Macaca mulatta: one gene and its partners. The protein of the gene in region 3 purifies or fractionates together with the protein of the main gene of each other region. This does not show direct contact. Links are inferred from orthologs where the notes say so. Each region holds a gene or a part of one and is shown on either strand. Other genes may lie near its edges.

Region 1 (3,646 bases), on a different chromosome or scaffold from region 3:
TGTAGAATTCAAGCAGAAGTAGGAAAAACACTACGTGAAATAGGAACGCAATTTTAGAAACTGCAATTAAGTTTATACTTGATCTTTTCCTCCCAGAATCTGGCAGTGAGCACAGCCCTGCCTGTCTCATTGGCCTCCTGAGTACCCCCTGCCACAGGCTCACTCCCTCCAGACCTGTGCACCCACAGGCCTGCCTGGCTGCAGGGGTGTCAGGCAGGACGCGTGGCCGGCTTGGTGGCGGGCAGCCCACGGGACGAAACCTGAGTGAGGCTGAAGCCAGGGGTGGGACACCTGACTCCCTCTGCTCTTCCTCCCGAAGCTTTAGTGTGCCCAAATGTGGGCGGGGCAAACCGGCTCTTGTGCGAAGGCACACGCTGGAGGACCGCAGTGAGCTGATCTCCTGCATCGAGAATGGGAACTACGCCAAGGCGGCCAGGATCGCAGCCGGTGAGTCGCCCGGACCTGCGTCCGTGGCTCTCCACACCTCCCGGTTAGCGTCTTAGGGCTCGACTGCTGGGGACTGGACTCTGGCTCAGGGAGCACGGTGCCCTGTGTGGAGCCCCACCCTGGCCAACCTCCTGGGGAGGGGTTCATCATACACCGAGGGGCTCTGGGCTGCAGCCCTGCTGGGGTGCCTGTGGAGGTGGCGCCTCCTCCATCCTGCCTTCGTTTCCCTGTGGAACGTCCAGCTCTGTGTGGCTCCTGGCTGCCGGGCACTGTCAAGGCTGTCTGGGGTTGTTGAGGTTCAGTGGTCATTTGTGGCTGCACAGGGGACTGACTGCAGAGGGTGTGCCCCCAGCTTCAGGCTCCTGGGAGAGGGGGAGGCCCTGGGGTTTGGGGTTGGCACGGCCCTCACTGTGGAAGGCAGCCATGCTGTGAGGGGGCATCAGGACGGAGACCCCCCCGGTGGGAGGGACAGCAGGGAGCTGGTCTGGCGGAGGGGGAGCCAGGACTTTGGTTTCGGATTTGGGGTGTCAGCTGCATAAATGAGGCAGGAGCACGCTGGGAGCCCCGTCCTTGGGGCAAGGAGGTCTCAGAAGGGACTGTGCTGGGCACCTGGAGTCAGAGCCTTCCAGCCCGGAGGGCAGAAAATTCTCTGGGTCCGGGGGAGGCTGGTGGGTCCCCAGGTGGGCTGCAGGGACGGGGGGGGATGCAGGGGCCTGGACTCCACAAGAGAGGCAGTGGTGCTGCTGGGGGTGGGTGAGAAAGGCCTGGGAACTGGGCTGTGCTCCGGAGACCCCACCCTGTTGCTGTGTACCTTTTGTTGGGGGGCGGGGCACGCCCCTTCTGTCCTGCTGACGCCGTGCCTCTCTCCGCAGAAGTTGGCCAGAACAGCATGTGGATCTCCACCGATGCTGCCGCCTCAGTGCTGGAGCCCCTGAAGGTGGTGTGGGCCAAGTGCAGCGGCTACCCCTCCTACCCGGCACTGGTGAGTATGGCTCTCGTGGTGCCCAGGGCCCCAGCACCTGTGGGTCCCAAGGAGGCTCACACAGCTGGGGGGTGGGGGTGGTCCGAGGAGGCTCACACAGCTGGGGGGTGGGGATGGTCCGAGGAGGCTCACACAGCTGGGGGGGGGTGGGGGTGGTGCGGTGACAGGTGCAGTCGTCTGTGGGTGTGAGCCTCACAGTGACCTCAGTGGGTCCTTCTCGTGCAGATCATTGACCCGAAGATGCCGCGCGTGCCTGGCCACCACAATGGTGTCACCATCCCGGCCCCACCCCTAGACGTGCTGAAGATTGGGGAGCACATGCAGACCAAGTCCGACGAGAAGCTGTTCCTCGTTCTCTTTTTTGATAATAAGAGAAGTTGGTGAGTCAAGAGGCCTTAGACTCCGGGGACCGGCTGGGGTGGTTGTGTGGGGGCCGTGGGCTTGGTGACCCGAGTGTCCCTGTGGTGAGCAGCCTCTTTATCTGCTGGGCCCTGGCAGAGCTAAAGTTGGAGGTGGGTGCTCTGCTGTTTGCCTGGTGGAGAAGGGCACTGCCCAGCACCCCTGCTGGGACTGTGGGATGGGCACTGAGCACAGGGTCTGTCTCTGTCTGATGGCTTTGTTTCCCTCTCACCTGAGCCCATTGGCCCGGGCTATCTCTTCTCTGTTCCTTACCCGTGTCGGCTATAGTGTTGGGGGTCCCACTGCTGGGCTCCTGGACCCCTGTGCTGCAGGACACGGCCCCCGCCTGGGCCTGGCCTCTGGCCCTGTGCTTAGAGCCTTCCGTCCTGGCGTCACCCAGCTCTGCTCAGACGTCTACCCCATCACAGGAGGCTCCCCCTGTGCCCTGGGCTGCTTTTTCGCACAGTGCCTGGGACTCTGATGTGCCAGGGTTCAGACCCCAAGGCGCCTCTGTGTGGGACGCGCTGGCAGCACATGCCTCTGGGAAGAGATGTAGCCCCAGCTGTGCCCTGCGCACGTGGCCCAGGCAGGTGCTTCCTGGTTCCCCGTGGAGCTGGCTGCTCTGGGGACCTGGCGCAGAGGCTCAGGGCCACCTGCGTATGGTGTGCCTGGAGCATGGCTGGCAACACAGGCATCCCTACCGTCTTTCTCTTCATTGCCCCGACCTCTGCCTCTTTGGCCACACGGCCGTTGCTCCTTGTCAGGCCCTGAGCGAGGCCCACACCTTGTCCATCCGAGGGCCCCTTTGATGGGGTCTCCCCAACCGCCGGCCCCTGCTCCGGGGCCCACCCTGGCTCTGGGCTTCGTGTGTGCATGTCTTGTCACTCGGCAGGCACTGGGAACGTTTTGGAGGTGGAGGAGGGAGGTGATGGTTTTTCTGCCTTACTTAGCTCCCCATATCCCCAAGCCAGGGAGGGGAAGGGAGGGGAAGGGAGGGGTGCACCCCTGGCCTCGGGCCTGTCCCTACACAGGGCCCAGCTGTCTTGGTGGTGCTGAGCAGGGTCCCTTTCTATCAGAGGGCAGTGGATGTGTTAGATGATTACATGGAGCACGTTGAAGCACCACATGCAAGCAATGATTTCCCCATGTTTTTCCTTTTAAAAAGGCAGTGGCTTCCTAAGTCCAAAATGGTTCCCCTTGGTATCGACGAAACTATAGACAAGTTAAAGATGATGGAAGGGAGGAACTCCAGCATCCGGAAGGCCGTGCGGATCGCTTTTGACCGCGCTATGAACCACCTGAGCCGCGTCCACGGGGAGCCAACCAGCGACCTCAGTGACATTGACTGATGGCCCGGCTGCCAGCGCGGGTCTTGTCCATAGTGTTGATAAGCTGTACATGTTTGTATATTGTTCAAAACTTAACTTATTCTGGTTTTTAGTTGTAGCTCTTTAATTCTTTTTCCCCAGGGAGGGGGAGGTTTTATTTCCACGTTTTCTAGGAACCCATCTCCGTCTGGGCGCTGTGAGTGGGGTGGGCGCGTCTGGGCAGCGCAGTGCGTCTGTCACACGACCCCGGGCCGTGCTGCTGGCGTCACTGTCTTTGACATGTAGCTTTTTCTTAAAGACTTTTGAATGTTTAATAATTTTGTAAATCATCCTCTTTACACAGAGTACCACTTATTTAATAAGACGGGATGTAAATTTACAATGACAAATGTGTATTTTAAGAAAGAAAAGGACATTATTTTGAATGGTACTTTGTGGAAAGGGGAGAATAAAGTTATGCTGTGCACATCACTTGCAGATCACCAAAAAC
Region 2 (3,646 bases), on a different chromosome or scaffold from region 3:
AAGATCAGGATTACCAGCAGAAGACTTTAGCCCACTTTACAGCTTCCCAAAAAGTACTAGTGGCATTTTTCAAATACTATTACACAGATTCCATTTTTATTTCTTTTTCTCTTCTAAAATTATTCCATATTCACCATATGAAACAAGGTTTTTATGGAATAAAACTATTCTACACTAGAAACAGTGAGAAGGATGCCCGGGAGTCTTCCTTGAACGTTACTCTAATGCCCACCAATTCCTCCCTTTGAGCAAATTAGCCCATTCACTTGGACCTAAGCACTTTCTTGCCATCAGCAACAGAAAGGGTCTGCAACAATCCTAAAGAGTTTTTATTCTAGGCAATTCCCTTCACAGCAATGGTCATGGGAGCTGCAGGGGGTGGGATTCCTGCCACTGACCTGTGCCGGTTTTTATTCTTTCGCTTTTTATGGCTGCTGTGGTGACTCCCTGAGGAAGTAGAGGAAGCAGCCTTCTGAGGTTTCACTCCCTGCACAGATCCATCCAGATCCTCAGGGTCCTCCTGGCTGGGCTCGTTTTCCTGATTGTGGAAGTCTGGAGAAGTGTCACTTTCCGTCCCACTTCCTGGCTCCCCTGGAGGAAATAAAACACAAGTTTCCAAATGCATCATCAGTACTCCTCAGGCAATCCGTCCATCAACATGAACACTAATAGGAAAAAACCATTCCCCATCCTCTAATTGACAGAGAAGATACATGTTGACAGAGAAGAGACACACAAAGGATCAAAGTTACCACAGGTCCTGAAAAAGCATGTAATCTGAAACAATGTAACCAGAGACAACATCTCTAAGGGCAGTTGGGAGACAGGAACATACAGCCAGGATAACCTCACTGCATAAAGGTTATTTAACCACAGAATACACTAATGGGATTAATAATTATACATAAAGCATCAGATAGGACTCCAGGGAAGTGAGGGATGATCTTGGAAAAAGTGCCTATAGCTGGCCCTGGTTTCTTCCCCAAACCATACGGGGATCCTGTCTTTTTATTAAAAAAAAAAAAAAAAAAAAGGCCAAAGAGGCAGAAGACAGCCCATTCCTGAATTACTCTAAGTTTTCCATTTTGTTTTTTGTTTGTTTAACCTTTAAGATCTGTTGAACTTGAACCTGATAAGTCTTTTTTTTTTTTTTTTTTTTTTTTTTTGAGATAGGGTCTCACTCTGTCACCTAGGCTGGAGTGCAGTGGCGGAATTTCCGTTCACAGCAGCCTTTACTTCCTGGGCTCAGGTGATCTTTATACCTCAGCCTCCCACATAGCTGGGACTGCAGGTGCCCATATGCATAAGCCCAGCTAATTTTTCTATTTTTTGCAGAGATGGGGTTTCACCATGTTGCCCAGGCTGGTCTTGCACTCCTGGGCTCAAGAGATCTGCCTTCCAAAGTGCTGACATTACAGGCATGAGCCACTACACCCAGCCCTGCTAAGTTTTATTTTATTTTATTGTATTTTGAGACAAGGTCTCACTCTGTCACCTAGGCTAGAGTGCACTGGTATGAACTGGTGTGATCACAGCTCATGGCAGCCTCAAACTCCTGGGTTCAAATTATCCTCCCATCTCAGCCTCCCCAGTAGCTGGAACTACTGGCACATGCCACCACACTTGGATAATTTTATTTGTTTTAAGATGGAGTCTCACTATGTTGCCCAGGCTGGTCTCGAACTCCTGGGCTCAAGCAATCCTCCTGCTTCAACCTCCCAAACTGCTGAGATTACAGGCATGAGCCACATACTCTGCCAAGAATATTTTTAAAATGCAGTAATATTCAGCTGACACATGTCCTCAATTTTAAAACATCACTGTAGATTATATTAAATAAATAAAAGCAAGCTCAATAACAACTTGTATAAATATATATATATTTATAGATCAGGCACAGTATCTCATGCCTGTAATCCCAGTGCTCTGGGAGGCTGAAGCAGGCGGATGGCTTGAGGCCAAGTGTTCAAGACCAGTTTAGACAACACAGCCAGACTCTCATCTCTATAAAAACAAAAATTAAAAATTAGCCAGACATGGCAGCACATATCTGTAGTCTCAGCTATTCAGGAGGCTGAGGTGCCCGTGAGTTTGAGCCTGCAGTGAGCTACGATCTTACCACTGCAATGCACTCTAGCCTGGGCAACAGAGCAAGACTCTGTCTCTTAAAAAAAAATAAAAACAAAAATGCTGCATGCAGTGGCTCATGCCCGTAATCCCAGCACTTTGGGAGGCCGAGGTGGGTGGATCACCTGAGGTCAGGAGTTCAAGACCAGCCTGGTCAGCATAGCAAAACCCCATCTCTACTAACACAAAAATTAACCAGGTGTGGTGGCAGGCACCTGTCGTCCCAGCTATTCAGGAGGCTGAGGCAGAGAGAATTGCTTGAACCCGGGAAGCAGAGATTGCATGAGCCGAGATTGTGCCACTGCAATGTTGCTCTGGGTGACAGAGCAAGACTCCATCTCAAAAAATATATATATATATAGTTATCAGTATGGTTTGGCTCTGTGTCCCCACCTAAATCTCATCTCAAATTGTAATCCCCACATGTTGAGGGAGAGACTTGGTGGGAGGTGACTGGATCATGAGTTGGTTTTCCCCATGCTATTCCTGTGATAGTGAGGGAGTTCTCACAAGAACTGATGGTTTTAAAAATGTTTAGAGGCTCCTCCTTCATGCGCATTCTCTCTCCTACTGCCTTGTGAAGAAGGTGCTTGCTTCCCCTTCGCCTTCCACCATGATGGTAAGTTTCCTGAGGCCTCCCCAGCCATGTAGAACTGTGGGTCAATTAAACATCTTTCCTTTATAAATTACCCAGTCTCAGCTATTTCTTTAGAGCAGTGTGAAAACAGACTAATACAGTTATATTTGTATTTCATTTATATATATACTTGTTTTTCCTGAAAGGAATTTCTTTAAAATCTTAATAGGTGAGGATGAGTGAGGGAAGACTTTCACTTTACTCAACTGTTGAAGGATCCTAAATATATACATTACCTGGCCGAGCACGGTGGCTCATGTCTGTAATCCCAGCACTCTGGAAGACCGAGGCAGCTGGATCACCTGAGGTCAGGAGTTCAAGACCAGCCTGGCCAACATGGTGAAACCCCACCTCTACTAAAAATACAAAAAATTAGCCAGGCGTGGTGGTGGGCACCTATAATCTCAGCTACTCGGGAGGCTGAGACAGGAGAATCACTTGAACCCAGGAGGTGGAGGTTGCAGTGAGCCAAGATGGCGCCACTGCACTCCAGCATGGGCAGCAAAAGCAAGACTCCGTCTCAAAAAACAAAAAACAAAAAAAATGTATATATATATATACACACACATACACACACACACACATATATACACACACATTATCAATTTCTAAAACTTGCCAAAAAAGGTCATGTGGTAGCAGAACCAAGGGACCAGTTTTCTTTTTTTTGAGACACAGTCTCGCTGTGTTGCACCCAGGCTGGAGTGCAGTGGCGCGATCTCAGCTCACTGCCATCTCCACCTTCCCAGTTCAAATGGTTCCCCTGCCTCAGCCTTCTGAGTAGCTGGGATTATAGGAACCCACCACCATGCCCGGCTCACTTTTGTCTTTTTAGCAAAGACGGGGTTTTGAAATGTTGGCCAGGCTGGTCTCAAACTCCTG
Region 3 (4,089 bases):
CAGGCGTGATGGTGCATGCCTGTAATCCCAGCTACACGGGAGGCTGAGGCAGGAGAATCACTTGAACCTGGGAGGTGGAGGTTGTGGAGAGATGGCTCCATGATCACGCTATTGCACTCCAGCCTGGGCAACAAGAGTGAAAATTCTGTCTCAAAAAAAAAAAGTAGCAAGAGGGCAACGTCAGAAGTAATATTTTGGCCGGGCGCGGTGGCTCAAGCCTGTAATCCCAGCACTTTGGGAGGCCCAGATGGGCGGATCACGAGGTCAGGAGATCAAGACCATCCTGGCTAACACGGTGAAACCCCGTCTCTACTAAAAATACAAAAAAACTAGCCGGGCGAGGTGGCGGGCGCCTGTAGTCCCAGCTACTCGGGAGGCTGAGGCAGGAGAATGGCGTAAACCCGGGAGGCGGAGCTTGCAGTGAGCTGAGATCCGGCCACTGCACTCCAGCCTGGGCGACAGAGCGAGACTCCGTCTCAAAAAAAAAAAAAAAAAAAAAAAGAAGTAATATTTTATATGTGAAAGTATTCGAGTATAAAGTACAGGAGGTCGACAAAAGATGTGCAGAATTATAGCATTATTGTCATTATTTGTATTTATAAGTAGAAAGTTGATAATCCTTCTCAAGCTTAAAAAATAATGCTGGGGGAGATGGTGTTTGTGTGAGTGAAAAGAAATGCAAAGGGTTTAAATCTCTCAAGGCTTGATACTCTTCCCCAACTTCCTTAAGAAACTAACTGGCTTGAAAAAAGTCATATTCTGCAAAGAGGGAAAAAAAGCTGTATCTTCCAGTCGCTGAGAAGGGATGTTTACGCAATATAAGCCTAAAGTGAACAGTTACCCCTGCACCGATTGCTATACATTCCCGTTTTGGAGGGAAAAAAGTTTGCCCGATAATGCAAAATGGCGATCTTCAGTGACGTCATACCTGTCTCGGTCGCGTCCTGGGGTCTCTGTAAGGGCGGAAGCGGGCTACAGCTGCCTCACTATGGGCGGTCGTGGCTACCATGCAAAAGGAAAAGTTAGAGCGTCGGGCGGATGTGTACCGGCGGTAACATAGTAAGGGCGGAAGTTCTCCTTTTAAGGGCGGAAAGGCTTTAGCCCCAAAATGGCTTCGGACCCTGTCGCGTTATAGTCACTTCCGGGGCGGATCGGAAGTTGCTTTGTTTTGCTTCGAGATGGCTGCGGGGATGTATTTGGAACATTATCTGGACAGTAAGAGCAGGCTGGAGGTGGGGGTCGGGGCTGTAGAGTGGTGCGGGGATCAGGGATGAGAGGATCTGTAGCCCTTAAGTCTCAATGACGAGAAGGTTACAATTGTGAGGGGGTTCTGTGGCAGGAAATATTGGAGGGTGCGGAGAAAGAGGGGGCGGGGCAGCAGGATCGAGGCCCCGCTGTTGGGGGTAGAGGAGGGAGGGGCTGCGGTGTGGGGGTTAGGGACGTGTCTTGAAGGGCTAGTGTGCACGGCCGGGAAGATAATTGCTGCCCCCATTCTCCAGCGTCTCCAGCCTCTGGGTAGATTTTTTTCCTATAGTCGTTCAGAATCGTTATCACCCACTGTCATTTGGAGCAGCGGTGAAGACCCCTCCTCCACCCCATTCTTCCTCAGAAGTGGCTTCTCGTGGGGTTGAGAGTGGTGGTGGTGAGAGTGGTGGTGGTGAGAGTGGTGGTGGTGAGAGTGGTGGTGGTGAGAGTGGTGGGGTTGAGAGTGGTGGGGTTGAGAGTGGTGGTGGTGAGAGTGGTGGGGTTGAGAGTGGTGGTGGTGAGAGTGGTGGTGGTGAGAGTGGTGGTGGTGAGGGTGGGGTTGAGAGTGGTGGTGGTGAGAGTGGTGGTGGTGAGAGTGGTGGTGGTGAGAGTGGTGGGGTTGAGAGTGGTGGGATTGAGAGTGGTGGTGGTGAGAGTGGTGGTGGTGAGAGTGGTGGGGTTGAGAGTGGTGGTGGTGAGAGTGGTGGTGGTGAGTGACCACTGTCAGATGATGAGCTGGAACGCTTCTCTTCATGGAGTAAAGATCTAATTCCCATCAAATGAAAATCTGGTGTTATGCCATTTATGTAAACCACCCCTGCACAAAGCCTGTCGCCCTATGCGCTTACATTTGTTTTAGGGCCCGGAGTCATTTATTCAACAAATATTTATTGAGTTCCTACTATGGGTCAGACATAATGGCAGGCACTAGGGATAGAAAAATGGGTAAGACAAGGCCCCTGCCCTCAAGAAACTCTCGATCTAGAAGGAAACAGATTCTGCAAGTAATTGTAAAACACTGTGACAAGTGAAATAATGGAAATCCATTAAAAAGGACATTTGGTAGGCAACACTGCAGAAAAGGGGGGTAATTACCTGGCGATGTAGGAAAAGCTTTACAGAGGAGGTGACGTTTGAATAGGGTCTTGAAGGTTGTTTGCCAGTGAGGAGAGAAAAAGGGAATTCTAGGTTGGGGAAAGTGTCTGCAAAGGTACTGTGATAGGTTTGTGGCAAAGTCAAGGGTGTTTGATATTTATGACTCAGAGGTCAGCGTATTTAATATTTATGACTCTAAGGTAAGAAATTGAGAAACGAGACTGGAGAAAGAAGCTGAGGCTAGATTGGACAGTCTTTTAAGCCAAACTAAGAAGTTTGCATTTTAAAGTACAATGTGATTTTTATAAACGAAAATGACTAATATATGGTAAATTGAAGCATGCTATCACTGATAACAGAGATCAATTAGTGATAACATTCCAGGACAGAGATAAGAACCTGATTTTAGGGAGTTATGGAAGTATTTAGGAGTTAAATATGAAAGGACTGCCGGGCGCGGTGGCTCAAGCCTGTAATCCCAGCACTTTGGGAGGCTGAGACGGGCGGATCACAAGGTCAGGAGATCGAGACCATCCTGGCTAACACGGTGAAACCCCGTCTCTACTAAAAAATACAAAAAACTAGCCGGGCGAGGTGGCGGGCGCCTGTGGTCCCAGCTACTCCGGAGGCTGAGGCAGGAGAATGGCGTAAACCCGGGAGGCGGAGCTTGCAGTGAGCTGAGATCCGGCCACTGCACTCCAGCCTGGGCGGCAGAGCGAGACTCAGTCTCAAAAAAAAAAAAAAAAAAAAAAGAAAGGACTGACTGACTGGGTGGTTGAGAGAGAAGGAAGAATCTCAGGTGGCTTCTTCCTGCTTAGAAAGTGAGGTAGACAGGCTGGGCACAGAATCTTATGCTTGTAATCCCAGCACTTTGGGAGGCCAAGGTGGGCAGATCACTTGAGGTCAGGAGTTTGAAACCAGCCTGGCCAACATGGTGAAACCAGTCTCTATTTAAAAAAAAAAAAAAATTTATCTGGGCATGGTAGCATGTGACTCTAATCCCAGCTACTTGGGAGGCTGAGTCAGGAGAATCACTTGAACCCAGGAGGTGAAGATTGCAGTGAGCCAAGATCATACCACTGCACTCCAGCCTGGGCGACAGAGAGAGACTCTGTGTCCCTCTTAAAAAAAAAAAAAAAAAAAAAAAAACTTGTGGCCAGGCCAGGTGGCTCACGCCTGTAATCCCAGCACTTTGGGAGGCCGAGGCGGGCAGATCACGAGGTCAGGAGATCGAGACCAGCCTGGCTAACACAGTGAAACCCGTCTCTACTAAAAATACAAAAAAATTAGCTGGGCGTGGTGACGGGCACCTGTAGTCCCAGCTACTCAGGAGGCTGAGGCAGGAGAATCGCTTGAACCTGGGAGGCGGAGGTTACAGTGAGCCACTGCATTCCAGCCTGAGCAACAGAGTGAGACTCCGTCTCAAAACAAAAACAAAAAGGCTGGGAGTGGTGGCTCACGCCTGTAATCCTAGCACATTGGGAGGCTGAGATGAGTGGATCACCTGAGGTCAGGAGTTCAAGACCAGCCTGGCTAACATGGTGAAACCGTCTTTACTAAAAATACAAAAATTAGCTGGGCATGTTGGCAGGTGCCTGTAATCCCAGCTACTTGGGAGGCTGGGGCACAAGAATCCTTTGAACCCGAGATTGTGCCATTGCACTCCAGCCTGGGTGACAAGAGCGACACTGCACCTCAAAAGAAAAGAAACGAAAGTTAGAGGAGAAAAGATCATGCCAACTGCTGCAG

What was found.
Region 1: the proteins of ING4 (region 3) and BRD1 purify together in Homo sapiens (affinity purification with mass spectrometry; 5 studies listed by BioGRID and IntAct, with this or other methods). This does not show direct contact. The link is inferred for Macaca mulatta from reciprocal best matches to the Homo sapiens genes ING4 and BRD1.
Region 2: the proteins of ING4 (region 3) and MEAF6 purify together in Homo sapiens (affinity purification with mass spectrometry; 5 studies listed by BioGRID and IntAct, counting the BioPlex papers as one, with this or other methods). This does not show direct contact. The link is inferred for Macaca mulatta from reciprocal best matches to the Homo sapiens genes ING4 and MEAF6.

The regions. Positions count from the first base shown.
Region 1 is NC_133415.1:1,669,005-1,672,650, forward strand, and holds part of BRD1 (bromodomain-containing protein 1), read left to right. Parts: intron 1-319; coding exon 320-447; intron 448-1,319; coding exon 1,320-1,429; intron 1,430-1,654; coding exon 1,655-1,809; intron 1,810-2,993; coding exon 2,994-3,177; 3' UTR 3,178-3,646. UniProt on the Homo sapiens protein: Scaffold subunit of various histone acetyltransferase (HAT) complexes, such as the MOZ/MORF and HBO1 complexes, that acts as a regulator of hematopoiesis.
Region 2 is NC_133406.1:203,295,517-203,299,162, reverse strand, and holds part of MEAF6 (chromatin modification-related protein MEAF6), read right to left. Parts: intron 592-3,646; coding exon 399-591; intron 1-398.
Region 3 is NC_133416.1:7,617,015-7,621,103, reverse strand, and holds the start of ING4 (inhibitor of growth protein 4), read left to right. Parts: upstream 1-1,160; 5' UTR 1,161-1,178; coding exon 1,179-1,215; exon of another isoform or gene 1,216-1,232; intron 1,233-4,089.